Notamacropus eugenii: one gene and its partners. The protein of the gene in region 1 interacts with the protein of each later gene in a pairwise test. Links are inferred from orthologs where the notes say so. Each region holds a gene or a part of one and is shown on either strand. Other genes may lie near its edges.

Evidence for each region.
Region 2: the proteins of HSD17B14 (region 1) and CA8 interact in binary tests that used the Homo sapiens proteins (3 or more experiments, as listed by UniProt). The two-hybrid records come from large-scale screens. The link is inferred for Notamacropus eugenii from reciprocal best matches to the Homo sapiens genes HSD17B14 and CA8.
Region 3: the proteins of HSD17B14 (region 1) and SNAPC3 interact in binary tests that used the Homo sapiens proteins (3 or more experiments, as listed by UniProt). The two-hybrid records come from large-scale screens. The link is inferred for Notamacropus eugenii from reciprocal best matches to the Homo sapiens genes HSD17B14 and SNAPC3.
Region 4: the proteins of HSD17B14 (region 1) and MPG interact in binary tests that used the Homo sapiens proteins (3 or more experiments, as listed by UniProt). The two-hybrid records come from large-scale screens. The link is inferred for Notamacropus eugenii from reciprocal best matches to the Homo sapiens genes HSD17B14 and MPG.

Annotation. Positions count from the first base shown.
Region 1 is NC_092876.1:12,640,940-12,648,255, reverse strand, and holds the start of HSD17B14 (L-fucose dehydrogenase), read right to left. Parts: upstream 3,024-7,316; 5' UTR 2,790-3,023; coding exon 2,702-2,789; intron 2,094-2,701; exon of another isoform or gene 2,009-2,093; coding exon of another isoform or gene 1,978-2,008; intron 1,947-1,977; exon of another isoform or gene 372-1,946; coding exon of another isoform or gene 371-371; intron 1-370. Other genes in the region: PLEKHA4 (pleckstrin homology domain-containing family A member 4), read right to left, coding at 3,432-3,628, 3,768-3,880, 4,482-4,552, 4,719-4,883, 5,095-5,195, 5,267-5,387, 5,528-5,626, 5,853-5,990 and 3 more. UniProt on the Homo sapiens protein: Catalyzes the NAD(+)-dependent oxidation of L-fucose, yielding L-fucono-1,5-lactone, which rapidly converts spontaneously to L-fucone-1,4-lactone. Can also act on D-arabinose and L-galactose, with lower catalytic efficiency. Does not use NADPH.
Region 2 is NC_092875.1:279,396,055-279,403,515, forward strand, and holds the start of CA8 (carbonic anhydrase-related protein), read right to left. Parts: upstream 3,008-7,461; 5' UTR 2,631-3,007; coding exon 2,528-2,630; intron 558-2,527; coding exon 366-557; intron 1-365. UniProt on the Homo sapiens protein: Does not have a carbonic anhydrase catalytic activity.
Region 3 is NC_092872.1:27,901,036-27,908,301, forward strand, and holds the start of SNAPC3 (snRNA-activating protein complex subunit 3), read right to left. Parts: upstream 3,020-7,266; 5' UTR 1,856-3,019; coding exon 1,575-1,855; intron 344-1,574; coding exon 266-343; intron 1-265.
Region 4 is NC_092872.1:55,219,180-55,226,108, forward strand, and holds the start of MPG (DNA-3-methyladenine glycosylase), read right to left. Parts: upstream 3,014-6,929; 5' UTR 2,908-3,013; coding exon 2,884-2,907; intron 1-2,883. UniProt on the Homo sapiens protein: Hydrolysis of the deoxyribose N-glycosidic bond to excise 3-methyladenine, and 7-methylguanine from the damaged DNA polymer formed by alkylation lesions.

The DNA of each region.
Region 1 (7,316 bases):
GTGCCTACAGGGCACCCCCCCCAGAGGGAGTGTCTGGAACTGACACCTCTGGGACCATGTCCATGTGGGGATGGGGGGAGGAGACACTGGAAGGATTGTCCCCGCCCCCCCCCCCCCCAAGGTTGGAAAGGTGGTGGAGCCACCCCCAGTGCACTGTCCTCCAATCTTCTCAAGACTGGGAATGACACCCCTCCACTTTCTCCACCTGTCTCACCAAGCCCTGGGAAAAAATCAAGGCCAAAGGTAAGACTATCCACTTTATCATGACTCCAGTCTGTTTCAACCAATTCTTCTGGCCCTCCCCTGTAGGGTTATGGGCATCAAACGAGAAATTAAGGGACATCATGAGACATACCCCTCCCCTGCCTACTTGAGAATCTGTTTGAATACTCCTTCCTTATGCTCTCCTCTGGTCCTGCCCCCTTGTTGAGAAGGGACCTAATGGCGAAATCAGGGAGTCAATTTTCTCTAGTTAAAATTCCCTTTTCCCATCATTCATCAGACACCCCCTGCCATGTTCCCCCAGAAGTGTGGAAGACAGGCCAATTATTTGGGATCTGGGGACTCCTGGGCCAGCTTCTCATGCCACTCCAGCCTTTGCTCACTTTGAAGACCACAGTGGTCCCCCAGGCAGTCAATAGCTAATTATCCTGAAAGGGCCAGGGTCTCCCATTGCATCCTGGGCCATCTCCAGTCATCCTGATGAATATCAGGCCACTGGATCCAGATGGCTCAGGAGGAGAAAGTGAGGCTGATGACCTACACAACCCTCCCTCACTCAAACCAAAGTCAGCTGCAGGTCACATGATCATCTTGATGTCCTATTCCTCTTTCAGAATGAAGGACAATAGCTAATTAAGCCCAAGGCCTGGAGGGACTGCAACCATTAATTACTACTCAAGGCCTGACTCACTCCTTCCAGAAGCTTCTGAGACTTTGAAAACTAAATTAATCACCACTCCCTCATAAGCTCTCCCCAATCTAGAAAAATCTTTCACTTAGTATGTTGAAGAAAGGAGAAGACAGGCTTTGGGAGTCCTAACCCAGTCCTTAGGACCTAACCCCAGGCCTGCTGCCTATTTTTCAAAAAAATTAGACTTGGTGCTTGCTGTGGGCCATTCTAACTGAAGTTGCCTCTAAACTTACACTTGGCCAGCCCCTGGAAGTTCTGACTCCCCATGGAATTCAGAGCATCTTGGAAGCAGAGGGCCACAGGTGGCTGGCCAGCCACAGGCTCAGCAAATCTCAAGCATTGCTCTTGGTACCTCTGACTTAATTCTTTGAGTGTGCCACACACTCCAGAGCCTGAAGCAGTGTGGTACACAGAATAAGGGGTTAGGAGATTTAGGTATGAAATAGTCTCCACCACACCAGAGGTCAGATCCCTGCCCCCCTGGGACTGCTGCCCAGAAGGCAGAAAGCACCCACCAGAGCCCTAGAGCTTCAGGAAAATAAAAGAGTAAATGTTTGACAGCAAAAAAAAAAACTCCCCTTTCAAACCTCTGCTCCTTTTGTGCCTGTTTCATCCTTGTTTACTTAACCTCCTTCCAACTTTGGTTCAAGTCATCAACTTTCAGATGACTGCAAAGGCTATGTACCCTTTGAACAGGACTCAGTGAGGCTAGGACACCTCTACTCCCCTTGCCAGCAGGAAGCTGAGACCTTTGCCCCTTACCCCTAAAGAATTTGGGTGCCATTTGTTTGAGGGGGGAATGACAGGTTATAGGCTCTGGAAGCCCCCTTGAATTCTCCACAAATCTTTCCACTTGATCTGGGAGTCGCCTGAGACTACAAGCTTTCCATTATCACTGAGCCCAAATCTGTTACCCTTAACCTAGCCTAGCCCTTCATTGTCTGTTATCTCCAGGTAGCCTTCAGTTACTTCTCATTATTTTCTTGGTTTCTGGAGTCTGACCCCAATCCTATCAAGATCCTCCTTGGACCCCTCCTCCCATCACCCCACACTACTTGACCAACCTGGATGGTGCCCACAGTCTATAAGATCCATGAAGGCGCTCAGACTCAATCTTGCCTGCTGGCAACAGCGATACAGATGTTCAGATTCCTTAAGCAGCTAGACAACGCCGAGATTCCTTAAGAGTCCAGCCGATATGGTGGATCTTTAATAAACTGTTTTTCTACGTATGTGTAGAACCCATATAAGATTGCTTGCCATCTCGGGGAGGGAGAGGTAGGGAAGGGGAGAAAATCTAAGACTAACAGAAGTGATTGGATAAAACTGAAGACAAATAAATTAATTTTAAAAATAAACAGTTTTTCTTCGGTTGAAGGAAGGCTTGGGTCGAGAATTCGGGCAGGACCGGGCGTGTTCCTGTTTCGGAGTCCCAGCACCGTCAAACCTCAACACTGCTGGCCCCAGACCTTCCCGTCTTCCCGTGACAACTCGGGCAAAGAGCAGTTTCAGCCTTGGGCACAACGTCCCCAGGGACGTGGGCGGCTCTTTCCTATAGCCCTTCCCCTAAGGCTCCCACTGCAAGAATCCAAAGCGTCTCCTTTCCCTAAATCCTCCTTTGTCAATTCTCCTGGGGACCCACCCCAGGCTATTTTACCTAACCGTGCCACCTCTCCACCAAGTCCAAGTCGGGCTATCGGATCTAGGTCACCACCCCGAGTCTGAGAGCCCATCAGCCCGGATTATGGGGGCCCGGGGACATCCCCTTCTCCCCAAGTTCAGGCTCACCGAAGGCGCGCACGATGCCAGCGCCTATACCCCGAGCACCGCCGGTCACCAAGACCACCGGCACCTCGCTGCACGGACCCGCAGCCATGTCCAGCCCCCGGGACCACTGGCCTCAAGTCGGACGATTGACCTCACTCCGGTGTGTCCGGCCCTCAGCCACTGCCAGCGTCGAGGTTAGAGCTCGAGTCCGGGTTGGCACAGGGTTGGCCCAGCACCACTGGCCCCTTTTAGGTCCACCCACCTTCTTCCTTTCCTCCCTCCCCTTCCCTCTGCCCACAACCCTAGACCCCTCTTCTAATCGCTCCTACGAGGATGGATCGATGAGACCTTGGCCCAGGCCACAACCTGGGAGATCTAGGAGCCTCCTTCCACAACGCCGCCCAGGCTCCTGGAGGATAGCACCCTCCCTCCGTCCACGGGTTAGGGAAAGCCAAAAAACTACAATTCCCATCAGGTCCCGCGAGCAGAGGAGCAAGTCCGACGGCCGAAAACGCCCCACAGCTTACTGGGAGATGTAGTTCCGGCCTCCAAAAGACCGGAGAGGAGCTGGAAGGGCCCTCCCCCTGCTTCAGCCCCCAGAAGGAAAGGAGGAAGGAGCCAGGACTGAGTGATCACAAGCGAGTTTAATAAAGACTGACATGGAAAGGAGGGATGGAGGGAGGGACGGTCGTCCGAGACCCCCCAGGCCCCGCACGCTTCGCCTCCAACTGTCTGCAGCTCGGCCGCCGGCTCAGAAACTGGACTGGAGCAGCGTGACTCGCAGAGGCCACGCCCCCTCCTCTGGCGGAGCCGCCCCTCCCCACGTGGGGGCCCAGGAGGTGGGGCCTCCTCGGCCCCGCCCCGCGGGAGGCGGGGACCCTATGGGAGGTGAGCGAGGGGGCGGAGACAGCCTGGAAGTGGAGTCTGGAGGTTGTTCTGGGCTCCGGGCTGCGGAGAATCAGAATGGACCGGTCCACCCGCGGGCCCAGTATTTGAGCCGCCCGGCCTCGGGACCCAGGAGTCCGGAGCAAGGGCTCGATCTTCCAACTACAGTTCCCACGAGGCCCCCCTTTGCCCCGGTGCTGACCTGCGATAAACTTCTGCCAGTGCGAAGCCTCAGTCGCCAGGGCGTGGGACAGGCTGAGGACCCTTTCCCGATGTCCTTCTGGGGACGGCACGTAGGACCGGGAACTCCGAGAGCTGCAAACGCGGGGAGGGGGGGATCAGCGAGTTCGGTCGGCCAAGCTACAAGACGATTTAAAGGGGCCCGGGGATCGAGGGCACTGTCATTTAGAGTCCCCCTGTCCCCCAGGCTTAGAAGGGGAGTGTACCTTTATTTACACCCGTGCAGAGGAGTCAAGGGGATGGGAGGCGAAAGGGATGTGACCTACCTAGGATCGCATAGATTACAGCTAACTGGCCGTCAAAATTTGAACCCAGGCTTCCAATTCATACCTCCCAGCCTCTTGAGAGCCTGCGCTTGTTCATTCTGTCACCCCTGACACGCAGTAGGAACTTCATACATGCTGTATTATTGTATCACACCAGGCTGAAGTCAGCTGTGTTGCCTTTCCCCAGCAGAAAAGACTGGGAAAGTTGGGGCCAGAGCTTTCGTAGAGGGGATAGACTCTTAAATGTCATTGAGTCCAACATGCCTTCATTTCACTGATGGGGAAATTGAGGCTTAGGGAAGAGGAACATTACATAGCAACTGGAGGAAGAGATTAGAGTCTTGGGGCCAGGTTCTGTGACTTGGGTGCCAGGGGCCACTGTCCTCTTCCACTTAGCCCAAATTTCTTACCTGCTCCAGGACCCAGAACTCCGGACCCTCTGCTGAGGAGCTCCTGTATGGCCCATGGAATCCAGGACAGGCTAAGAGAAGAGATACCAGAATGTAAATTGCTGGATCGTTCCAAGGAATAGGGGCCATAGTTAGATGTCTAACTCCCAGCCTTGGTTCTATTGAGATGAGATTTGGCTCCTCTAGTTCTCCCCCTGCCCCTAGTCTAGCCTATTCCAAGCCAAACCCAAGACTCACCCCCTCTCTCTCTGACCCAGGCTCCAGCTGCCTTCCAACTGCTGAGGGAAGGGCTGTCTGGCCCCCTGGAGAGAGTGGCCGGAGCCTTAGCCTCCCCACCTCTTGGTGCCTACGCATTCTCTCCAGTTGCTCCTGTGCACTCATCCTGACCCGGGAGGCTGGAGCCTGCAGACAGAGGGCAGGAAAAGACAAGAACTCCTAAACTCCAGGGACCCTGGGGATTCAGGTCACAGGACAGAAGAGATTTGCAGTTTAGGTCCAATCCCCTCATTTTATAGACTAAGGCCCAGAGATAGCCAGGAACCAAAAGCAGCTGAGCCAATATCTCAGATCCTGATGTCTCTACAAAAGCCTGGAATCTTCCTGGGATTCCTACCTTAGGCCCAGTTGGTAATGGTGGGGATGGAGATGGGGCAGGGGATGGAGAACACTGGCCATCTGGACTTTGGGTCCGGGGAGAGCTGGGTGATCCAGGACCTGAGGGGAGTACAGAAGAAGGTTGTACTGGACATGAGGAAGGCTGGGGGACTCTAAAGGGCGTATCTCACCTGGTGGGGCACCAGGCCCATCTTCATCTCCATCCCCATGGGGATGACCCCAACTCCGATCCCCGAGTCCAGCCAGTGTGTCCTCTACCATCCATAGCTGCTGCTGGGCAGAGACCCTGGCCTGCAAGAGTTAAGCGTTGGGAGGTGGGCAGCGGAGAAGAGAAGCTCTGGCAGGAGGGGTGGGGCTTGAATAGATTTTGGGAAGGGGCTTGGAGCTGCTGAGGGAGAGGGAGTCGGCGGAGGCTTGGCATTTGGCAGTACCTGAGGAGGCCCAAGGTGCAGCAGATCCTCTAGGGTCTCCCGTAGAGTTCCCAGCTCTTGCTCCAGGCTGCTGTAGGTCTTCCAAACCCTCTCCCTTTCCTCCAAGGACAGGAAAAAAGGGAGATGAGCTCTGGTAAACTCCCCTCCCCCCACCTATTTCTCTGATTTGGCTCCTGGGACCCTCACCCAGGATGCTGAAGGCTAGGAATGCCAGAAACCCCTAAGAAGGCAGAGCTGGCCAGGGTCAGAAAGGACTACATTTCCCATGAGTGGTTAGTAGCCTCAAAGTAGGATGGTCTTTGTAGAGTTCAGTTGGGCCCCCTACCTGGGCCAGGTGGCACAGCGCAGCTCTGACGCCCACCAGGCGGTCCTGCAGCAGCCGTAGGCGAGACCAGGCTCTGGTCCCTGGCCCAGGCTCCCCCACAGCCCGGCGAGTCAGCTCCAGGGCTGCTTCCAGCCGTTCCTGTGGTGGAGGAAGGGAGGATGGTTAGAGGGGATACAGGAAGCCAACCTCCTAGTGCCTTTGTGCCCCCTTCCCCTTAGATTTCACATCCCCTGCCCCTTAGACTTCACCTCTCCTTGGCTACATTGGATGCCCTCCTGGACCCTAGCTCTCACTGTGCCCCTCACCATGCACCCTCATGCTCCTCAGTGCCCCCCTTGCACCTTGCTGCCCCTGCCCAGCCCTCAGCTCTCCCAGTGCCCGCCCCCCCCCCCCCCACCTTCTCCTCCTGGTTCTTGGCTGTCTCCTCCATCAGCCTCCTCCAGAGCCGGTCCTGCCCGCAAAGCTTAGTGAGGAGCGCCTGCGGGCCAAAAGGGGCCAGGCCTAGGTCAGAAGTGGCTCTCTCTTCTCAGAACCCGCCCGAGGAGGTGCAGGGCTCTGTCCCACCCGCACCTTGGCCACCTCCGCTGCTCAAGGCCCCCGGGACTCACGTCGGTATCCTCGCTTCGGTGCAGTGGGGAATCCAGCGCTGGGCCCAACGGCTGCGGGAGAGGGGGTTGCTGCAAAGGGAACCATATAAGTTCCTGCCTTTGGGACTCCACCGGCCAGCCTCTTCAGGGGGGAGCGGGAGGGGAGACACCTACCAGAGAGGCTGAGGAGCCCCGACTCCCTGGGGGTCTGGGGGCCAACTGCAGATATCCAGGCCCTGCCTGCGGAGACATTAGGAAAGTATGGGGGGTGGTGTTCAGAGTACCGTTCAGCACTGAGATTTTGAAGGCAAAGTCCCCAGGAGACACAGTGCCTAGTCCAAAGAAAGGGGCATCCTCCAGTTATTGGTTTCTACAGGGCAGGCAGGCTTACTAAGCACTTTTCTAGTCACAATTTGGGGAGTAAGGGAAGACAGGGTGGTCCCCAGGTATCTTCCTCCTTTCAAAGGTAAGAAAACTGAGATTCAGGGAGATGGCCACGGTCACTGTAACTGTGAGAGAACCTTGGGGGTGGAGGATGTAGGGGGAATGTCTGGGCCAGCTTCACAAGTTGAGAGAGCCTCAGGATTTCCTGACTCCACATCAAGGGAAGGGCTCTTTCTTCTCTCCAGAAGGCCCTACAACAGCCCTCACTCCCACTGAGGCAAACTAGCTACAATGCCCTAGAACTTCTGAAAGCCATGGGTGGTAAGAGAACACCATAAGCATCTATGGCCTTCCTCAGCTGGAGGCTCACAATGGCCTAAAATCTCCATAATGTCTTAATAAGAATGGTCATCAGCCAGCCAACTGGACTGACTGGCAGACTTTCCCCTTCCACATGTGACTACACAGGTCTGACCATGGACTACACAGGTTG
Region 2 (7,461 bases), on another chromosome or scaffold:
CTCTTTAAAAAGATTCCAGGAAAAAAAATCATAGAGATAGAGATATGTGTGTGTATGTGTGTGTGTATATATATATATATACATATATATATACATATATATGTATATATATGCATATACATACGCACATATATTTGTACCTATTTGTGTATATATGTGTGTTCACAACCTTGTTTAATAATAGTCTTTGAGGAAAAGGAAATATAATGTCTAAGATAAATCAGTATATTTCCAGAAAATATAGAAATGTTACCCTATCTACCTTATTATCATAGAAGCTTTTCAATTCATATTTTGTAGGTCATAATAACAACAATTTAATTTACTGAATGATGAGAGCAGAGGAAATGGAAGTTTTTAAATACCTGATTTTGATTTCAGAACAATCTGAATCGTGTGTCCATCATTAGTGACTTCACAATCACGACACACCACATAATTTGGAGATAGACGAACATCCAGCAGTGAGGGATCATATCTGGCTTCTCTTGAATTCAAGTTGATAGGAGATTGATATTCTCCATTAGCATCAGGAAATACCAAGCCCCATTCAACTCCTGAGAATAAAATAAATAATAAACTTGAAATAAAGTGGTCTTTTTTTTTGTAGGTTATACATATAAAAAGTGTGAAACAAAAAATCAAAGTTATGTTTTCTGTTTTATGACCCTAACACTTCTTCCACCAATAAGATACAACTTGTTTTATGATCAATTACATGGGTAAAAGAAATAAATACATTTCATTAGATTTTGAAGCAATATTTGGCTTTCTGAAAAAGCTACAGTGCAAAGATTCCATGTTACCCAAATCATTCATTAAAAACCACAAAACCTCATAACATTTAATTGATTTATAGCACAATACAATACTTTTATTTTTACCATGTGGATATAATTATGTGATTTGTGGCTTGAAGGCAAACTTATCTTAAAATGACAACAAACACTAAACTATCACAAACCACTGGTAATAGCAACAGTGCTCAATGTGGAACAAATAGAACTGGCAAGTGTGGTGCTAAAAACACTTTTGAAGATAAATGGAAAATGATAACTGATATTAGTGAGTTTATATATAACACATATATGTATATGTGGTATCTATGTGTGCAAATGTGAAAAATGTATCACACAAATTCATTATATGCTTTTTTAAACTGACATAATTATAGATTTTGTAAGTTTGTGAATACAAGCATTTACATATCAGTAATCATTCAAAATAATATTAGCAGACCTAAATGTATAAAAAGAAACTTCTGAGAAAGCCTTCCTGCATTTCAGAGACTTTCAGTTTGAAACTGACATATAGAAAGAGCTGATTGTACTCATAATGCATTGCTTATAAAGATAATGTGAAATTTCACTAATGTAACATTGAAAATGTCCAGTAAAAGTTGCTCTAGAACAGTTTTAAATAACTCTGAAACCATTAATTTTGTTACATTCCAGTTTGGTTTTATGGTCCTAACTTTTAAAAGGATATAAATCAGCAACTCCTACTTGTAGAGTAATCTGGGGCAGAGAGAGGTTAAGTAACTTGCCTTGGGTTACACAGCCTGAATGAATACGTCTAAGAAAGAATTTGAACAGGTCTTTCTGACTCCTTGGCCAGTCCCGCTCTTTATCCATGATGCCTCACTGGCTCTCAAGTCAAGATGATTGGTCTAAATTAAAGACTTTGGTGAAACAGGGCACCATCAACACTCTGTATCATTAGATATCCCTCACTAGCTATGCTATCTTCTAGCAAAAACTTGAGAACTTAGTTCAAAAAGAACAGCAGCTGTTGAAGTAAATTAGACTAACTACAGAATGTGTTCGTGTGTTGCCTCCCCGGTTAGATTTCTATACAGATCAAGTTTATATAGTGATAATGGGAGGGGGCGGGGTGGTACGGGAAGGGACTTGTGGGGGTGCAGGCAAGCATAGCCAAATAATGAAGTATCACTTTTTGAGGTGCAGGAGTCAATGGGGAGGAGGGGAGAATTCAGGAAACCAGAAAAGGAAGAAGATCAAAAACTCGTCTCGAAGGTGGAAAAGCTTTTCTGCCTCCAACAAATCCTCAAAAATTATATTCCGTCGCAGCTACAATGAAAATCAGGCCACAGGTTTGAGGTGGGTCCCTGCTGGAAGGGCAGTAGGGACTCCGGCGAGGTGCTAGGGACAGGCAGCCCAGCTGGATGGGCGCTCTCAGAGGCTTCCCTCAGGGACCAAGGGCAAGGTCTCAGGTCTCAGCCCGGAGCAAGCGACAGCAGGAGGCGGAGGAGCGGAGCTGCTGCCTCGGCGCTCCCCGCCGCTCTCCCGCACCCGTCAGTCTCCGCTAGGCGCTGCCAGGCTGCCCAGTGCCAGCTGTCCTCGCCACCGCCAGCAGCCCCGCCGACCCCCACCCCACCGCGCCCTCCTGCCTAAAAGACCCCAGGGCCACACGGAGGGTGAACAGCGCCCGAACCGCCACAGCCTGGACATTTGTCAGATTTGTTCCTAACCATGATAACCCAACTCCGTGCAGGGCTTTCTATTACCTTCCTCGTAACCCCACTCCACACCCTCCTCCTCTTCCTCTTCATCATCTTCCTCCTTTCCCGTGTAGGGTTCCGAATCTTCAATGAAACTCAAGTCAGCCATGGGCAGCTTGTCCGCACCTTCCTCTCTCCGGGCTGGCGGTCCTGACTTTCGAGAAAGCCTGTTGTTCTCTGCTGACCAGTGAGGCAGCACGAACTTCCCAGCTCTGAATGTGTGTGTGTGCGTGTGTGCGTGTGTGCGTGTGTGTGTGTGTGTGTGTGTGTGTGTTCCCTTGCGTTGTACTCCTGAGTGTGAGTGCGCGCGTTCGTGTGTCTGTGTGTAGCTGCCAGAGCCCGAGGTTTGTTGTGCAGACTGTGAGAGCGTGCGTCTAAAGCCCTACTTTATATAACTTAGAACCATAAAGCTAGACTAGAGAAACTGCGAAGTACAATTCACTGGGGGTGGAGCATGTATTCCAAAAGAGGTAAGTCTTAATAAGTCTCTTTGCCCTGGGAGTGGAAAGATTATCAGGAAACATCCCATGGGGGTGCTAGTACAGTACTGACTGAAATGAAAGAACACTCTAATGCTTTGGAGGGGGTTTTTTTCCTTATTTTTTATTAGAAATTCTTCCCTCACCATAAAGACTCTTGGCTCACTGCCCATGCACACATCTCCCATAACAGTTAAACTTCTGGCCAACCCTGAGACCAGCTAACAGGTACCGTAGCACTTCAGTGACTTATTAATAGGTGCTTGATAATGTTTATTGACTAACTAATGGAGAAATATCAATAATAGAATCATAGATCTTGAACTGATAGGTCCCTACCTAAGGGTCACCTAGTGCTCAGTTATAGAACTACTAGATTTTGCAAGTTTAGATGGCTTGCCCAAGGTAATACATTGTAACAAAATCAGAATCTGAACCCAGTTCCTGTCACTCCAGAACCAGTCTTTGTCTCCTACCATACTGCCTCCTACTTCTCAGAAATAATCCCTGAAGAAAGAGCGCAGGAAGGAATAAGTAAATAGTCTAATACATCAGAAACTGCAGTTGAACCTTTCTTTGGAATATCAAAGAAATAGAACAGGGTTACCCTCAGACATTCACCAAAACCCCCATCATCTCTAGGAGAGAAAAGGGTAAACAAGAGAGCTTTATAACTGCATAAAAAGCAATTTGGAATAGAAGGTATTTTAAAAATATTTGTTAAAATGAATTGTTTCCCCCTCCAGGATTTTCATTATCTGGCGCTTCATTTTCATATGCAGAGTAGAAATTTTGGAAACAAAGTATATCCAAGGACTTTATGGATTGTGAAAACAATTTAATGACTTTCAAAAAATAAATTAAACTGGAAAATGGGTCATAATTTAGGGAAATATTCTTCATGGATAGCCCTGGTGCAAAGACATGAGTGATAGAATTATATTTCATTTTATTTTCAGAGGCTGTGACCGTGCTACAGTCAGGACTTGCTATGTACACAGCTCCATAATCACCTAGTGAAATCATGTGAATAATGAAATGTACACATTGCGTAACTAACAGGAACTTTCATGTTCCACAGTAGTGACATTATTACCTCTTAAAATCTGCTTCCTACGCCAGCATTAATGACTTCAGGCCTCTTCTTTCTCCCTTAAGGGTCCTATTCAACAATCCTTATTCTGGCTAGCTACATTTTCATAAGAGAGTGTGCAGGAATAACAACTTCAGATTTCTACGGGTAAGAATTTCAGTGGTCTTATGTAAAACACCGAGTATCCTTATGAACTCTTAAGCTTTGATCATTCAGGGTTTGGCTTATGGGATTTCAGCCTCCCTACTATCTTCTGCTACCCACTTGCAGGCCACTCAATTAGCTATTAGGAAATTCTTTAGTGAATGGGTAAGATGAATAGGAAGCAAAATCCAAACCAGTACATTCTGCCCTTTTTAGATGTTCTAGCCAAGGTGTTAATAAAATAGATGAATATTGACCTTATTAACTTTAGGCTTAAGTTTCAGTCATGAGTACCATCCCTTTCTCACCTTAACAAAGAGATGGTAGAGTTAACCACATAACTCAAAAGGCTGAACAACAGAAAAATATCTGGACTGAAAATTCAGGTTCTTACTGTGGGTTTTTAATAGCTTTGTACACTCCTTAAACCTTAGTTTCTTAAAATCTGGCAGTAACAAAACAAATCTGTATAATAAGGTGGTTAGAAGTAACTAATAAAATGTCTGTAAAAATTTTTGCAGACATAAAGTTCAATCTAATAATTTCCCTCAGATTCCAATAAATTACACATTTTCATTGTTCAATCCCATTATGTTGAATTTTATAGAGCTGGGAACTGAACCCCATAATTTTATTGGTATAGGATAAAGGTGTCAAACTCCCAGCAAGATGAACCTGGAAAGAAGCTGACAAAATGACTGGGAGAACTAGATTAAAATGTAATTGAGACTTGTTTAACAAAATTAATAAAAAATACAATAGAGCTTATGGATCATTGGGTTTCTAAGTTCATATGTAATCTACAGAGATCTGATTCTTTTTGAATTTGACACTAATGGTATAGGAAACTCCCGGATGAGGAAATTCCCTCCACAAAGTCAGGTTAGTACTTTCCTGCATCTTATGGTCTTAAAAAATTGCAGAGGTCAATGAGAGGTTAATTGATTTACTTATGGTCACAAAGTCCAGAAAGCCTTTATTTATAACATTTGATAAGCACCTCACCATAGAGAATATGGATATTCACACTGACATCTTGTTAAGAGGACAAAAACTTAAGTAGTTTCCCATGACTTCCAGATTCAAATACAAAACCCTCTGATCGTTTTTAAAGACCTTCATAACCAAGACTCTTCTTGCCTGTCCAGTCTTCTTACATTTTACTTTATTTCACTTACCCTTGGGTCCAACCTCCTTTCTGTTCCTCCAGCAAAACACTCCATCTCCTGACTCCATTTATTTTCACTGGCTATCCCCAATAATTCTCTCTTGGAGTTCATCTCTGTCTTCCCACTTGTCTGGCTTCCTTCAATTCCTAGCTAAAATTGCCCTTTCTACCAGGAATCTTTCCCATCCCCCTTAATGCTAGTGCCTTATGTATATATAGATATAGATATATAGATATAATGTGTGTGTATAAAATTTATCCCTTAGATATTTTATTCATACACAAGTGTTTGCATGTTGTCTTCCCCCTTAGAATGTGAGCTCCTTGAGAACAGGGAATGTTTTTTGCCTTTCTTCATATCCCCAATAACACAACAGTGGATTCATCCTTCATTGCCAAAGAAGACCATGTCATCAGAGAAATAATGACATGACTCGTACTTGACTTTGAGTGAGGGAGGGCTGTACAGGTCACCAGCCTCACTTCTCCTCAAGAGCTGTCTGAATCCAGTGACCAGATATTCATCAAGATGACTGGAGATGACAAAGGATGAGGCAATTGGTGTTAAGTGCCTTGTCCAAGGTCACACAGCTAGTGAGTATCAAGTGTCTGAGGTGACATTTGAACTCAGGTCCTTCCGACTCCTGCACTAGTGCTCTATCCACTGCACCACCTAGCTGCTAGTGCATAATAAATGCTTTTAGACTCAGATCCCTCCTACTTCTCAGTGATAAATATTGTCCCAAGATCAATTAGTTACTTTGTAACCATTTCTTAGAGCTTCATAGGGTATGGGTTTCAGGGACAGAAGTTATATTTAGTTGTCTAGGAGTCTGCTCATACGGACTTTTGTTGTGCAGTCATTTCAGTGGTGACTACCTCTTTGGGACCCCATTTGGGGTTTTCTTGGCAAAGATACTTGAGTGGTTTTCCATTTTCTTCTCCAGCTCATTTTACAGATGAGAAAACTGAGGCAAACAGGGTCAACTGATTTGCCCAGGATCACACAGCTAGTAACCGTCTGAGGCAAAATTTGAACTCACAAAGATGAGTCTTCCTAACTCCAGGTTTGGCACTCTATCCACTGCTCCGTTGTTAAATTTTCAGTGTGAGCATTTCTGCCTCAGAAATTAGCAAAAGGATAGAAAGCAGAGCTTGAGATACTGTGTTTTTCTCTAGACTTAAGAAAGTAAAAATGGTTAATAGTACAGATTATACTTACAACTGTGTCATGGGTACAGGTTTCTCAGAGAGCCAGTTGTTAAATCTTTACCAGCACTTTCTCTGGGACCTCCTTTGTACCTATAAAAGAGAGCAGGGGTTCCACTCTTTCTTCTTTTTAGCTTTTTCTCCTTTTTCTTGTGCGTTTCTTTCAGGGTGAAGCAGAGGAAAGGGAGTTTCATCCCCATCCAAAGGAGTTGTCCATTAGATTGTGATCTCCTTGAGATCAGGGACTGTCTTTTGCCTCTTTTTGTTTCCCCAGTGCTCAGGACAGTGCTTGGCAAATAGTAGGTATTTAATAAATGTTAATTAATCGATTGATTAATGGCTGATTTTTATCAGAAGCATATAGTGGTTGAGCTGCATGTGCTTGCCTCAGTCATACAAAGAAGAGCTCCTTAACCTCAGGGTTCCTAGCTGTTGTTTACCTCTCTGTTTCCCTTTCTGAACACCTGATCCTAGAGAGAACCAAGAGTTCCTGCCCCAAGGGATGGCAACCACCTCTGGGTAATAGTGAAGAATTGAGTCCATCTTCCTCTGTCTAACCTTTGTTAGTCATTAATAGCTACTGTAAGACATAAGTTATGAGAGGTGGTACAGTGGATTATAGTGCCAGAAGTTTCTGAGTTCAAATCTGGCCTCAGACACTCGCTAAATGTGTGACCTTAGGCAAGACTCTGTTTGTCTCAGTCTCCTCATCTACAAAATGAGTGGAAAAGAAAATAGCAAAACATTCCAATATCTTTGCCAAGAAACCCCAAGTACCATCACAACAAGTCAGACATGACTGAAATGACTGAACAAGAAGGCAGAAGCATATGGTAGAGTCAGACAC
Region 3 (7,266 bases), on another chromosome or scaffold:
AGAGGTTTATGCTTAGAAACCTTATCATGCAAATATTTTGTATTACAGTACTGTGTGTATTAAGCTAATTATTTTTAGTTTTCAACATTTACTTCCATAAGTTTTTAATTTTCCCCCTCCCTCCCCAGAGAGCCTGCAATCTGATATAGACTTCACATGTACATTCCTATTAAACATTTTCACATTAGTCTTATTGAAGTACTGTGTGTATTAAGTAACTTTACTACATAATAAATGAACTTTTAAAAATCAAAGTCTACTATACCCCAAAGTCACTAGGCTGGTGTCTTCAGGAATGACTTCTGGATCATCCTCCTCTTCACAGTACTTCAACTTATCCAGGCTATAGATGGAAATGCAATAACTTAAAATTTTTTTTAACCAATGAGCTAACCATCCTGGTCTATTCAGGTGAAATTAAAAAGTAAGGTTAAAGAATTGTGATATCACAATAGACAACTTCATTCAATGAAATATTTTTGGTACAGTTACTGTGAAATGAACACTAGATGTAACTGGTAGGCTTAACATTCTATCCATTAAACAAACCTTCCTTAAGAAGATATTAGCTGATAACAATAACAGCTAATATCTATACAGCATTAGTACCCTATGCCAGAAACTGTGCTAACTAAGCACTTCACAAGTGTTATCTGATCCTCACGACAACCCAGGGAGAGGGGCGCTATTATTATCCCTATTTTACAGTTGAAGAAACTGAGGCAAACACAGCCTTGCCCAGGGTCACACTGCTGCCAAATGTCTGAGGCCAAATTTGAACACGACTATTTCTAGTTTTCCAATACCGTGAGTAGCAATATGAGATCAAGTCTTTTTCTTTCTCAGAAAGGTTCTTTTCTTGCAGGAACGTGAGGGAAACTGACCAAAGATACCATCAGTAAGAAGATACTAAGCAGCATTTCCACCACAAAGAAACTCTCAAAACTGGTATCTGTGATACAATGTTGCAGATTGTAGGATTCACAGAGATGACAAGAATCATGGCCAGAAGGGAACTTCAATCCAACCTCCTCATTTTAACAGAGGCAATGAGGCCCAGAGAGGTGAAAGACTTGCCCAGGGTCACCTAGGAACTGAGATCTAAACCCAGATCCACTGATTTGTCTCCCCCATTATTCGGGATCTTAATCCTTGAAGGCAGCCTCTTTCTGTAACCCCAGCGCCGAGGACAATTGCCCGGCACATAGCAGGCACTAACTAAAGGTTGACCGATCTGATTCCAATTCCAGTGCTCTTTCCATTACATTTCCGCCAGCTCCTCCCTCCCGGACTTGTCCATCATCCAAAGGTTTCCTTTATCAGCTTTTGCTACTGTTTCATGATAAGCACCTTCCTCGATAACAAAGGCAAGATTGGTCTCTGAGGTCTCTTTGAAGGATACCCCCCCCCTTTCCTTCTTCCCCACCTCTAGTTCACTCCCATCCCCCCACTGTCCTCAATGGCCTATTTCATTTACAAGCGTCCGAGGACGGTCCTAAAGAGGGGGGTGGGAAGAGGGCCTGGGCAGAGCAGGAGTTCAGACGGGGACCCTCCTGCCCGCCCTGAGCACTCACCCACACACGAGGCTCAGCTCGGCCGCCGTCTCCAGGCTGCAGCCCAGGTCTTCGGCCACGGCCGCATCTTCCTCGCCGGCTCCGGCCCCGTCCAGGCTGCTGGGCGCAGGCGGCTCCAGGGAGAAGTCACGGACCCCGAGAAGCCTCTCCTTCCACAGGTCCCCCACGGCCCGCACGAGGAAGGGTTTCGTGTTCAGCTCCGGTATCTCGTATTCTGGGAACCTGAAGCCGCCCCCACCGCTGGACGAGCAGCCGCCGTCGCCGACACCTTCCGCAGCCATGTCCGCTCTCCTCGGCTCCTTGTTCCGCAAAAGCCGCGTTCCCAACCCCTCCCCCCTCCCGCCGCCACGCCCACCTCATCCGAGGGCGCAAGGCATGGTGGGATTTGTAGTCTAGAGCAGCGCCCTCCCCTCTCCAGCACTGAGAGCTAACCGCTCAGCCGGCGGAGGAGAAGAACGAGGCACTACATTTCCCAGAAAACTCTGCTGGCCCGCCCTGCCCCGCCCCGTCAGTCCGCCGCGGAGAAAACCTAGGGAGCGTGTCCTTGGATTGCATTGTTCTCTGCATTGGGAGGAGCTGTCGGGTGGGAGCGGTTCTCAGGGTGGGCCCCGCGGCCCGCTGGGGGAATTGCGCTGGCCGACTTTGATCCCGGAAAATGCCCTCGGCTTTCCCTGTGTCATCTCTCCCCAGCTTCCCTACCCACAGACCTCTTCTTCTTGTGAAGCCTTCTAGATGTTAAAAAAATCCTCTGGGGCGGGGTCACGTTGTGTGCGTCCACCCTCGGCAGCCACCGGCCGGCCGGCTTCTAGGGAAGGCCCAGGGGACGGGGCCGGTTCCTGACTCCCCAGCTGACATCTAAGATCTAGACTTGGGAGGGTCACCCGGGCCAACCCCCTCATTGAACAGGGGATGCAGCTGCGGTCTAGAGATGTTAGCTGACTTTCCAAGGTCACAGAGTTCAGATTTAGGCTATGGGACTCCAAAGTCACCTCTGCACCACTCTCGCATCTTAGAAATAGCACCTAGTTAGCAAGAATTACAATAATTTCTCTTACACTCCCAAGATCAAGTTTCTGTCCCCAAGAGACAGGGTGGGACATCAAAACACACACAGGTCCTGCCCCGCCCCCCGCCTCCCAGAAGGCATATTTCAGCTGTTTGCCTAGATGCAAAAATTCCTTGTTACATCTCTTTCTCTGGGCTTCAGTTTCCCCATTTCTCATGAGAGGGTTGTTTTGTTGGCAGTGGTGGTCCTGCGTTCTGGAAGAGGACCAATGACGTCAGAAGGGTGTTGTCTTGACTCGCGAATGAATTGGATTTAAGTGAGGCAGAGCTGTCTTCTCCAGAGTCACTGGAGTACATAGTGGTAAGATATGTCATGACCCCGCACACGGATGGGAAACACAGTTTAAAAGAAGAGAAGTGAAAAATAAGAATATTAAAAGAAAAAATATGCCTACTATGAAAGCAAAACAAGCGAATTTCAAATACAGAATGTATAGGGACAGTCTAAGGATCATAGGTCTCAAAATCAATCAAGCAACATTTATTAAGTGCTTACTATGTTCCAGTCACTGATAAGCTCTGGGGATACAAAAAGAGGAAAAAGACAATCTCTCTCCTCAAGGAGTTTACAATTTGATGGGGAAGACAACTTGCAAACAAATAGATACAAGGTAAGCTATATATAGGATAAATAGGAAATAATTAAAAGAGGGAAAGCACTGGCTTCCTGAAGAAGAGGGATTTTAGTTGAGACTGAAAAAGGAAGCCAGGGAGGTCAGGAGTTGGAATGGAGGAGGGAGAACATTTCAGGCAGGAGGGTCAGTCAGGGAGACTGCTCAGAGCAGAGAGACGACAGGCAGGAGGCCATTGTGCCTGGATCAAAGAATATGTGTCAGGGAGTAAGGTGTAAGAAGACTGGAGTGGAAAGAGGAGGCTAGGTTATAAAGGACTTTAAATGCCAAATAGAACATTTTGTTTTTGTTCTTGGAGGCAATAGGAAGCCATGGGAGTTTATTGAGTAAGGTGGTGATGTGAGCAGACCTATGTTTTAGGAAATACACTTTGGTATCTGAAGGAACAATGGATCGGAATGATGAGAGAGTTGAGGCAGGCAGGCCCACCAACAGGCTATTTCTGAGTAGGGAGGGATGAGGTCCTGCATCACAATGAGCAGTGGCAGAGGAGAAAAGGATGCATATTTGAGAGATGTTGCAAAGGTAACATCAACAGACTTTAACAAAAGATTGGCTATGGGGGATGAGATGAATCCAGGATGACTTCTAGATTGCAAGCCTAAGGGACTGAGAGGATGGCATTGCTTTCAACAGTAATAGGGAAGGGGTAGCCACATGGAAGATTTGGGGGAAAGCTAATGAGTTCTGTTTTGGCCATGCTGAGGTTAAGATGTCTGTTGCAAATCCAGTTCAAGATGTCTGAAAGGCAATTGGAGATAGGAGATTGGAGGTCAGCAGAGAGATGGGAACAGGAAAGGTGGATGTGAGGGTCATCAGCAAAGAGATGTTAATTAAATCCATCGGAGCTGAGGAGATCATCAGTCAAACTAAAAGAGAGAGAGAAGACGTCCCAGAGCTGAGCAATGAAGGACACACGTGGATCACAGGCATGACTTGGATGAAAGGGAGAAGGGGGCATCTTCTGGCTGAAAGGAAAAAAGCAGGAGAAGAAATATACGACCAGACAAAAGCAGAAGAGAGGAGCTAATAAAGCCCTAAGAGAAAAGGGCTAACAAACGAGAAGAGGTTAGGGTAGTGGTGGGAGGAGAGCAGTAGGAACGTCTCGTAGTTACTGTATTGCTTTGAGCAGCACCAGGTGTTCTCTGAACTTGGACAAGTATCCATGTTCTGGTCATGGAGCCCTGCTGTTAATTAAACTTGTTTCATTGTTGCTCTTATCCCTCATTGCCAGGGCTACAATTCACTGCATGGTCTTTGGTGTGATACTGAGATCTCCCAACGCTGCCTCCCCAGCTAGGAGTGGAGCCTGACACATGTATCTAATCTGCCTCCTTGCTTGCAAGCCATTTTCCTAACTTTGAAATTAAATTTCTGTTTAATTCTTGACACTCTTGAATCCAGCCTGCTCTGTTGGGCTCTGGCCATCAGCAAATTAGAGGTCACTTGGATCCGGCTGACACTGTAAAGGAACTACCAAAGGAAAAAAAATACTCCTGCACTCGATGAATTCACAGGACAAAGCCATTAAACTTTTGAGGAACAGTTAGTACCTATATTTCACAAATTATTCTCAAAAATTGAGAAAGAAAAAACCCTACCAGAATCCTTTTATGAGACCAACATAGTCTTAATATCTAAGCTGGGGACAGATAAAACACAGAAAGAAAAGTATGAGCCGATATTAAAGAACATTGATTCAAAAATTTTAAACAAAATTCTTTTAAACAGATTACAATGATTTATCCAAGAAATCATTCATTATGATCAAGTAGAAATTTCAACCAGGTGTGTAGATTATTTAACATTAGGAAAACAATTAATTTAGTTAATCATATTAAAAACCATCTAAAGCCACATGATCATCTTAATAGATTCAGAAGAAGCCTCTGACAAAGTAAAACACCCTTTTATGTGAAAAACTCTACAAAGTATAGGCATATAGGGGTCTTTTTAAAATATCATTAAAAAATTTATCTAAACACAAAAGTTTCCATCATATCTAATGGGGATATACGAGAATCTTTTCCAATAAATACAGAAGTGAAGAAGGGATGCCCACTCTCCCCACTATTATATACTTCTAGAAATGCTGGCAGTAGCAAGAGAAAGTAAAGATAGGTGAGGAGAAGATAAAAGTATCCTTGCTCACTGATGATATTATGGTTTGCTGAGGTAAAACTCAGGGAATCAGTAAAGATACTAATTGAGACAATAGCTTCAGCAAATTTGTAGGTTACAAAATAAGTCCTCAAAAATCAACAGCATTTCCATAAAATAATAACAAAACACAAGAAGCAATAATAAAAAGGAAAAATCCCATTCTTAATAACTAAAAAACGCACAAAATATCTAAGGATCAACTTCCCAAAGCACACAAAAGACTTGTATAGATTCAGTTACAAAGCACTCCTTAAAGAATTAAAAAATAGCCTAAATAACTATAAGAATATTAAATACCTGTGTCTAGGCCATGCCAATATAATAAAAATGACAATTACTATCAAGATTAATTTGTACTTTTAATGTTAGTATCAATCAAATTATCAAGAGGCTATTTTACAGAGCTTGATAAAATAAAAAAATTCATTTGGAAAAACAAAAGATCTAGAATATTAAGGGAATGATGAAAAGTTCTAGAAGTAGCACTTCTAGACCTCAAATAATATGATGAAGCAGCAGTCATCAAAACTATTTGGTACTGACTAAAGAAGAGATCGTTGGAACAGACTAGATAAGGGAGATTCAGAAAAAATAGAATTTCAATAACACAGTATTTGATAAAATGGAAAACATAACTTATCTATAGAAAAACTCCCTATTTGATAAAAATTGCTGGGAAAATAGGAAAACACTATGGCAGAAATTAAGCTTAGACCAACAGCCCATACTACAACACATTTTAAATGGATACATGACCTTAACATAAAAGATCATGCTATTAAAAAATTAGAAAAGAAACAGATCATGTAACTTTTATAGCTATGGATAAAAGATGCATTCTTAATCAAACAAGAGATGGAACCAATTATAAAAGATAAAATGGATAGCTTTGATGACTTGAAACAGAAAAGTCTTAGAAGAACTGAGGTGGCTCTACAGAAAATCTAGTTAGCAGTAAAATGCAAAGCAGTACCAAGGTTCTAGCAAGCTGTAAAATGGAGTTAATCAGTGTCATTTTTTTCAAATTATTTTAATTATTGAATGTACAATTTTTATTATACAAATAAAGAGTTTTAAAACCTGAAAGAAAAGAAACTGAAAAGCCTCTGCGTAGAAAATATTAATGCATCTAGAATAAGAAGGGAATAGTTGAATGTAAAAAAAACTTCATATCAGATTTCTCTGATAAGAGTCTGGTATGAAAGATTTATAAATAATTAATATGTATATACATATATGTATATATGTATATTTTATGTATGTAGGTATGTATAGGGGAGCTAGGTGGCACAGTGGATAGAATGCCAAGCCTAGAGTCAAGAAGATTCATCTTCATGAGTTCAAATCTAGTCTCAGACACTTACTAGCTGTGTGGTCCTGGGCAAGTCACTTAACCCTATTTGCCTCATTTTCCTCAGCTGTAAAATGAGCTGAGGAAGGAAATGGCAAACCACTCTAGTATCTTTGCCAAGAGAACTCCAAATGGAGTCACAAAGAGTTGGACATGACTGAGAAATGACTGAACAACATATCTACGGTACATATTTGTGTGTAAGTGTATTAGCCATTTCCCAAAATATAATGAAGTGATATCAACAAATATTTCTCAAAAGAACTGCAAAATATTCATGACCACATGAAAAAAAATGCTCCAAATCATTCACAATAAGAGAAATGCAAATCAGCATAACTCTGAGGTTTCACCTCACACTCTGTAAATTGACAAAAATGACAAAAAAAAAATGGCAGTAAATGTTGGCAGGAGTAAGAGAAGATAGGCATAATAACGTTGTTGGTAGAGCTGTGAAATGGCACAACTACTTTGGAAAGCA
Region 4 (6,929 bases), on another chromosome or scaffold:
CGCAGATCATTAACAATAACAACTCAATTTGCTTCATTTTTGCAAAGCACTTATTTCACAACCACTACGTGAGGCAGTGAAGGTATTATTATTTCCTTTTAACAAAAAAGAAAATTGAGGCTCAGAGAGGTGAAATAAATGTCCATTTCAGAGTGTCAGAGTATTCTTCTGAAATTAAAAGCAGGAAAGGATCCTAGAACGAATACAGATTGTTGCAACACAGAATTTAATTCAATTCAAGCATGAAGTTCCAATTATGAACAATGCACTGTGCTAGGTACTAGAGATATAAAGACAGAAATAAAATAATCTGTACCATCACAGAGCTAATATTCATAAAATGTAAGAGCTGTAAGAAACCTTAGGAAAAAAAAGTTAGAACACAGAATCAAATATCAAAGCTAGTCTCTATCTTAGAGATTATTTAGATCAGCCCTTTCATTTTTACAAACTGAGACTCGGAGATTAAGTGATTTGCCTGCAGTCACACATCTAACAAGAGGAAAAACTAGGACTAGAACCCAGGTCTTGCAAGCCAACATGCTTTCCAGTATAACAAACTGTAAAGTACTCAAAGTCTCTCCCATACCCTCGACATCATCCTTCTTCACCTTTCCCATTAGTCAATGTTCAGAAAATAGAAAGTTATAAAAAGATGCCAAATCCAACTCAGTATTAATAACCTTTGGACAGACTAGACTTCATGTGTCCAGTGGCACCAGTAAAGTTTAGTGCACTCTCACAGGAAGCCCTGCAAGCTAGAGGTAAGTGTGCTGAGTGGATAACCAGACCAAATAATCTTCAGCAACAGTCTTCCAAATATAGGCCAGGCCACAGCTATGAACATGCAAATTTCACTAAGAGTTGCTCAAATCAGACTAATAAAAGAACAGAAGGTGGCTGTTCTTAGCCCACAATCTAATGGAAGCAGGATAAAGTACCTTACAGAGATTACATCCCATCTCTCTTATCTGCAACCTCCAATGGAAGCAGGAAATACTATAGTAGTGTAAAAAGTACCAGACTTTTGGGTTCACATCCTGGTTCCACCACTTATTAGTGTCACCCTGGCCTATTCATTTTTCTAAAGTGGCTCTCAGTTTCCCAATATGTAAAATGGGGATAAAATAATGAAACACCTTCTTTACATACTTGTTTGAATAAAAGTAGGCAAACGTTTTGTAAACATAAGGCACTATAGAAAGGTTCGCTATAATTACTTTTCTTCTACTAAAACTAGATCTCTAGGTGTCTCACCCTTCTCCAGACTCCTTTAGGAAGACAGAAGTTAAGGCCAGTGACACCAGAAACCACAATTTTGTTTCCACAAATAGGAGATGCCGTGGCCTCAAACACCAACACGAGTAGGCCTTTACCCTCAAAACAGGCTTAGCGACATTTCCAACATTGTCAGGACTCAAACCATAGTCAAATCCATCTGTAATCAAGTTCATTAAGCCAGAGGCTGTGCAGGGGCCTGAGTTCTGGACCTAATCAGCTCACCAGGTCACAATACACAGGTTACATTCCCTCTTTGGTCTTCCTTTATCCCATCTGTCCAATACCCATCCCAGTTCAAACACAGACAGCATTTTCCCCCAATACCTGTTTTATATAAAACACAACTGAAGCCTGTAATTGGCATTATTTTTAAGTGTATACTTATGTCTTTCTTTTCAAAGATCTCTTTTTTTTAAAAAATCACATTTTAGGGATATAGATTTATTAAGGGGAATTTCATCATTATCTAGTCATTATAGCAATGTGTATACTATCTATGTCACCAGGCTGTTGTGAAGAAAGCATTTGGTAAATTATAAAATGGTATACATGCGTAAGCTATAATAATAGTTTATTCTTCAGTCCAATAAAGTATACTCTCTCCCTCAACTGTACCTATTATTTTTATGTTATTTAAATCTGTAGAATACTTATCTATGTGAACATCTTATATCCCCACACTAGACTTTCCTCTTGTATGATAGGTACTTAATACACCATTATTGTAATCATTCTCATGTTCAACCAAAGAATTCGTAAAAAACTGACTGACTCCCTACTGGTCTATGGGCAGACACTGGTAATATTCCAGAGATGGGAGATCATCTCCAAGATCAGCTAGTCTAATTCCCTCATTTTTCAGAGGAGAAAGCTGAGGTGCAGAGAAGGGAAATGCCTTGAAAAGGTGCCTATTTGGCCAGCTTCAGCTCTGGGATCATGCCATGTCTCACTTAACGAAGGGCAAAGGCCCAATTCTTGGGCCTTCCTGTATGCAGGAGAGGGAACTTTAAAAAAAAAAGGTTAAAGATAATTTCTGGTCATCCTAAATCTGTACTTTGTTGCACTGATCGTACAAACCTTTGCCTGGTTGGCTGCTTGCCAGGTACATTCTGCACATATTCTATGTTATCTGAGCAGTGAGGCTGAACATCAGAACACTCTCCTGCTGGTTTTTATGTCATTTCTTTCTCTATAAAAACGTGTTGTGTGAAGTATCATCTAGGAACTCATCTTTCACATTCTGAACTTCTGTGATTCTAAAGTTAATACAAAATAGCTCCATCACTTACAAAAAAAAAAAATAGGAGCAAGAAGAGAAAACAAATAGTGCCAATGAACCCAACCCCAAAGCTAGAACACAGGAGACCTGGGTTCTAATGTAGACTCTTAATAACTGTTTAAACCTGAACAAGTCAAAATCCATCTTGGCTTGTTTTTCTTCACTCACAGAATGTGTGTTGGACTAAACAATCTCTTCCATGTTCAAATATATGATTTTCTGTCCAAAGTCACACAGGGGTTAAGGTTTCAATTTATGTGCTCTAACAAGCTATTCTGCGTGTTTCAGGAGCTTAGGCCAAGGCATTTCCTAACCCCACTCACCTGAGCCATCTTCAAAGCTGGCATTCCCTTCCTAAATATGCAGGCATGGGAAGATGATGGAAGAGCACCCAGGTCTAAGCAAGCCAAGGGCACAGGGTAATGCTGGAGAAGACAATGCAAGCATCCAACGGTGGGCCAGCACCTGTAGGAAAAACGGACACTGGAAAACTTAGGATAAAGGTCAGTAGGTTAACTGTGGGGTCACAGGAGGAGTTGTTATAACCACGTGTGGCCTCTAACCTCATCTATGAGAAATAGTAACAGTAATTCATCTTTCTATACCACCTTAAAGGTGACAAAACATTTCATTATTACACCACCACCACCAAAAGATTCAAGAATTATCCATCTCCATTTTCTAGAGCAGTGGTTCTTAATACGAAGTTTGCTGTTGGGGTTTCTCTTAATATATGAGGCTGGTGACCTGCCCAGCCCTCCCTCACTCAAAACAAAGTCACATCATCATTTCCCCAACGGCATGGTCTTCTTCTGCGTCCGACCAAGGACGAACACACGTCAACCTAACTGGATTCTTTGTAATCTTGGTATTTTAGCTTATGCATCTAACAACACTGTTCTGACAGGGGCTCTCCAGACATCACCACCCTGCCCAAGGACCCCAAGGCACACACACACACCTACAGGCACAACTGGCATTTCAAAGGGACGTGACGTGCCCACTGCTATACAGCTAAAAAAGCCGGGCACAGAAATGCCGAGTTTTGGCTCCAAGTCCCTTTGTAAACTGTATAATGCTGTCTGAATAATGCTGCCTGCTGATGGCGAGGCATTAGAGAGCGGAGAGAAAGGGGGGGCGGGATGACGCAGGAACCTGGGTGGGGGAGGGGAGGGGTGAAATTCAACGGAAGGAAAAAAAGGTTGGGGTACGAGGGTCTGACTCCTGGGGATGAACTCTGGGTGGGGAGGGGGTCGGTGAGAAAAGATAGGGAAGATTTAGGAGAATAGGCCACTGACGGAGGATGGCCCGGAGAGAAATGAAACGTTGCCGAGAGCCTGGGCCAGAGTTGGGGCGATAGAGGGAGGGATCTGCTGGGGGAGGGGCGTGCGGGAACGCGGGGATAGAGGCCTCGGACTTTGGGAGCGGAGGAAGGCTGCGGATGCAGGAAGGAGAAGGGAAGGGAAGAAGCATGGCGTCAGGCGGTAAGGGGAGAGACGCGATGGGAGGAGGGGGTGGCGGATGGGCAGATGAACGGAAGGGCCCGTCCTGGGGGAGAGGGCCACATGGCGGGGGAGGGGGGGGGGGCCTGGGTGCCGGAGGGAGAATCTTAGAGGCGGGCGTCTGGTCTCAAGGGGCTAGGCCTCTTACCCCGGAAAGAGGAGGAGGAGGAAGAGGAGAGGGAGGAGGTGTCCCCTACGGGGAATCCGGAGACGGAGACAGAGCAGGAGCCGGATCCGGATCTGGGCCTAGACGGGTCTCGAGATGCGCGGCCCACCCTCCTGCTCACGTCCCACCAATCGCTGCGCGACGTCGGATACGGGCGCCCTCCGGGGGCGGAGTCACGCCCCCAAGCCCCGCCCCCTCACGGACTAGGGGCGGGGGAGGGGGGAGGGAGGATACGGGCTGGCGCTTTAAGATGCTCTCCCTTAACCCCCTGAGGTAAGGCAGTGCTGGGGCGGGCCCTCCGGGTTAACGATTGGAAGAGAGCTAGGCCCCAAGGTCACGGGGCTGGTGAGTGACCAAGCCCGGACTTAGAATCCCCCTGGGGTGGGGAACCTGTGGCCTTCTGGGCCCTCGGGGGCGGCCTTTTGATGGAATCCAAGTTTTACCAAACAAATCCTTTTATTAAGGGGACTTGTTCTGTGAAGTCTGGGTTCAGTCAACGGGCCGTTCTTGAGGACCTCGAGGCCCACGTGACCTGTAGGCCGCAGGGTCCCCACCCTGTGCTGGACCTAAAGCTTCTGGAGGGCAGAGACTCACGTGTGTCCAAAGCAGTAAGTCCTGCTTGAGGAAAATGATAGTTATGACGAATCAAGACATATACAATGTATCTGTCTGTCTGCATCTATGTATCTCTACACACACAGGAAGGCGGGGCCCCCTGGGCCCAGGACAGTGATATATGTATATATGTCTGTATGTATATATATATACACATATACACATATATATGTGTGTGTATATATATACATATATATACTTATATATATAGATCACTGACATACATAGCAAGAGATGGATAGATTTGAATCAAGTTGAATTCCAAGCCCCAAAAGTCCAACACACCTTGGTATCAGTATCCACCTTACAGCAGAACCCTATGTTGAGTATTGGGACTGAGCAAATCACTTAACATCCTAGGCCTTTGTGTTTTTCCTCTGTAAAATAAGGGCTCTGGACTCAATGATTCCTAAGGTCTTTTTTTTTTTAAACCTCTGATATTCTATGGTTATTGTGACCTATGTGAAAGTTTCCAGTACATCTTTTGCTGAATTGTAAAAATTTTAATTATAACATATATATCTCTAAAGTGACATCTGTTTTGTCCATATTTTATAATAGTAGCTGTAAAATTAGGGATGCATTCATAGTCTCTTTCATAGAGCAGATACTCAAAAAATATTTATTGATTGAATGTTGATAGAAGGAAGGGGTTAAATATATGACTTTCCCACTAGCACGCTGGGAATGCTTTGCAAACTCCTGAGAATTTTGGAATTTGGGATTTCCCTATTTCTCTAGGGTCCTTAAAATGCCTCTCATGACCACTTAGCCTCTTACTCTATATTCATAGGTCCTGTTTCTATGCCATATTCCCTAACCCCTTTAATCTACATGTTGGTGAATGATATACTACATCCAGTAACAGCTCACAATAATCTAGGTAGTACAAGTATTATATACGGTATTACAAATGAGAAAAATGAGGTCCAGAGAGATTAACTGATCTGCCCATATTCATGATTAGTAAGTCTTTTTATGGAATTTGATCCCATCAAGTCTAATGCTCGTATATATATATATATATATATATATATATATATATACACACATATATACATACAGTGTGTATATGTGTATGTATATGTGTGTGTGTGTATGTGTGTGTAATATGTATGGGCAGCTAGGTGGTGCAGTAGATAAAGTACTGGGTTTGGAATCAAAGACTCCTCTTCATGAGTTCAAATTCTGACTCAGATGTTATAACTGTATGACCTTGGACAAGTCATCTAACACTGTTTGCTTCAGTTTCTCATCTGTAAAGTGAGCTGGAGAAGAAAGTGGCAAACCACTCCATTGTCTTTACCAAGAAAATCCCAAAGGGAGTCATGAAGAGTCAGACATGACTGAAACAATTGAACAAAAAATAGTTATGTATATGTCCATAAATGTATAGCTATATCTGTATAATCATGGTTGGACTGAACGAATATACTAAAAATTATAATACCAAAATTAATTTTCAGATTTAGTGGTATATCAGCCACATTACCTAGTTGATACTTTACAGGGCTAGACAAAATAATAGCAATTTATTTGGAAGAATAAAATGTCTAGAATTTCAAGGAAATGATGAAAAAAAGAAGTAAGAATGATGATGAAAATAATACTTGCAGATCTCAAGTTAGACTATAAAATAGTTATCATCAAAACTATTTAGTACTCGTTAAAAGGTAGATCAGTAGAAGAGATTAGATCAAGAAGAATAAGAAAGAATTTAAGTCAACCCAGTGTTAGATAAACCTGAGAATATAAATCGTTTGGGAAGAACTCCCTCTTTGACAATAATTTCTGGAAAGTTTGGCAGAAATTACATTTAGTCTGACATATATCATCATAACAATCTCAAAATGGTAATACATTCTAAATATGAAAGGTCAAGACATAAAAAAATTAGAAGAGAATGAGATCAGCTGCCTTTTACAGCTATGACTAGGGGAAGAGTTCTTTTAAAAAGTTTACTAATATCTTTGGTTTTTATACCACCTTCATTTCCTAACATCCCTCCCACCTCCACCCAAAGAGTCATCCTTTATAACAAAGAATAAAGAAGAAAGGGGGGAATAAGCCTTTCAGTGAACCTAAC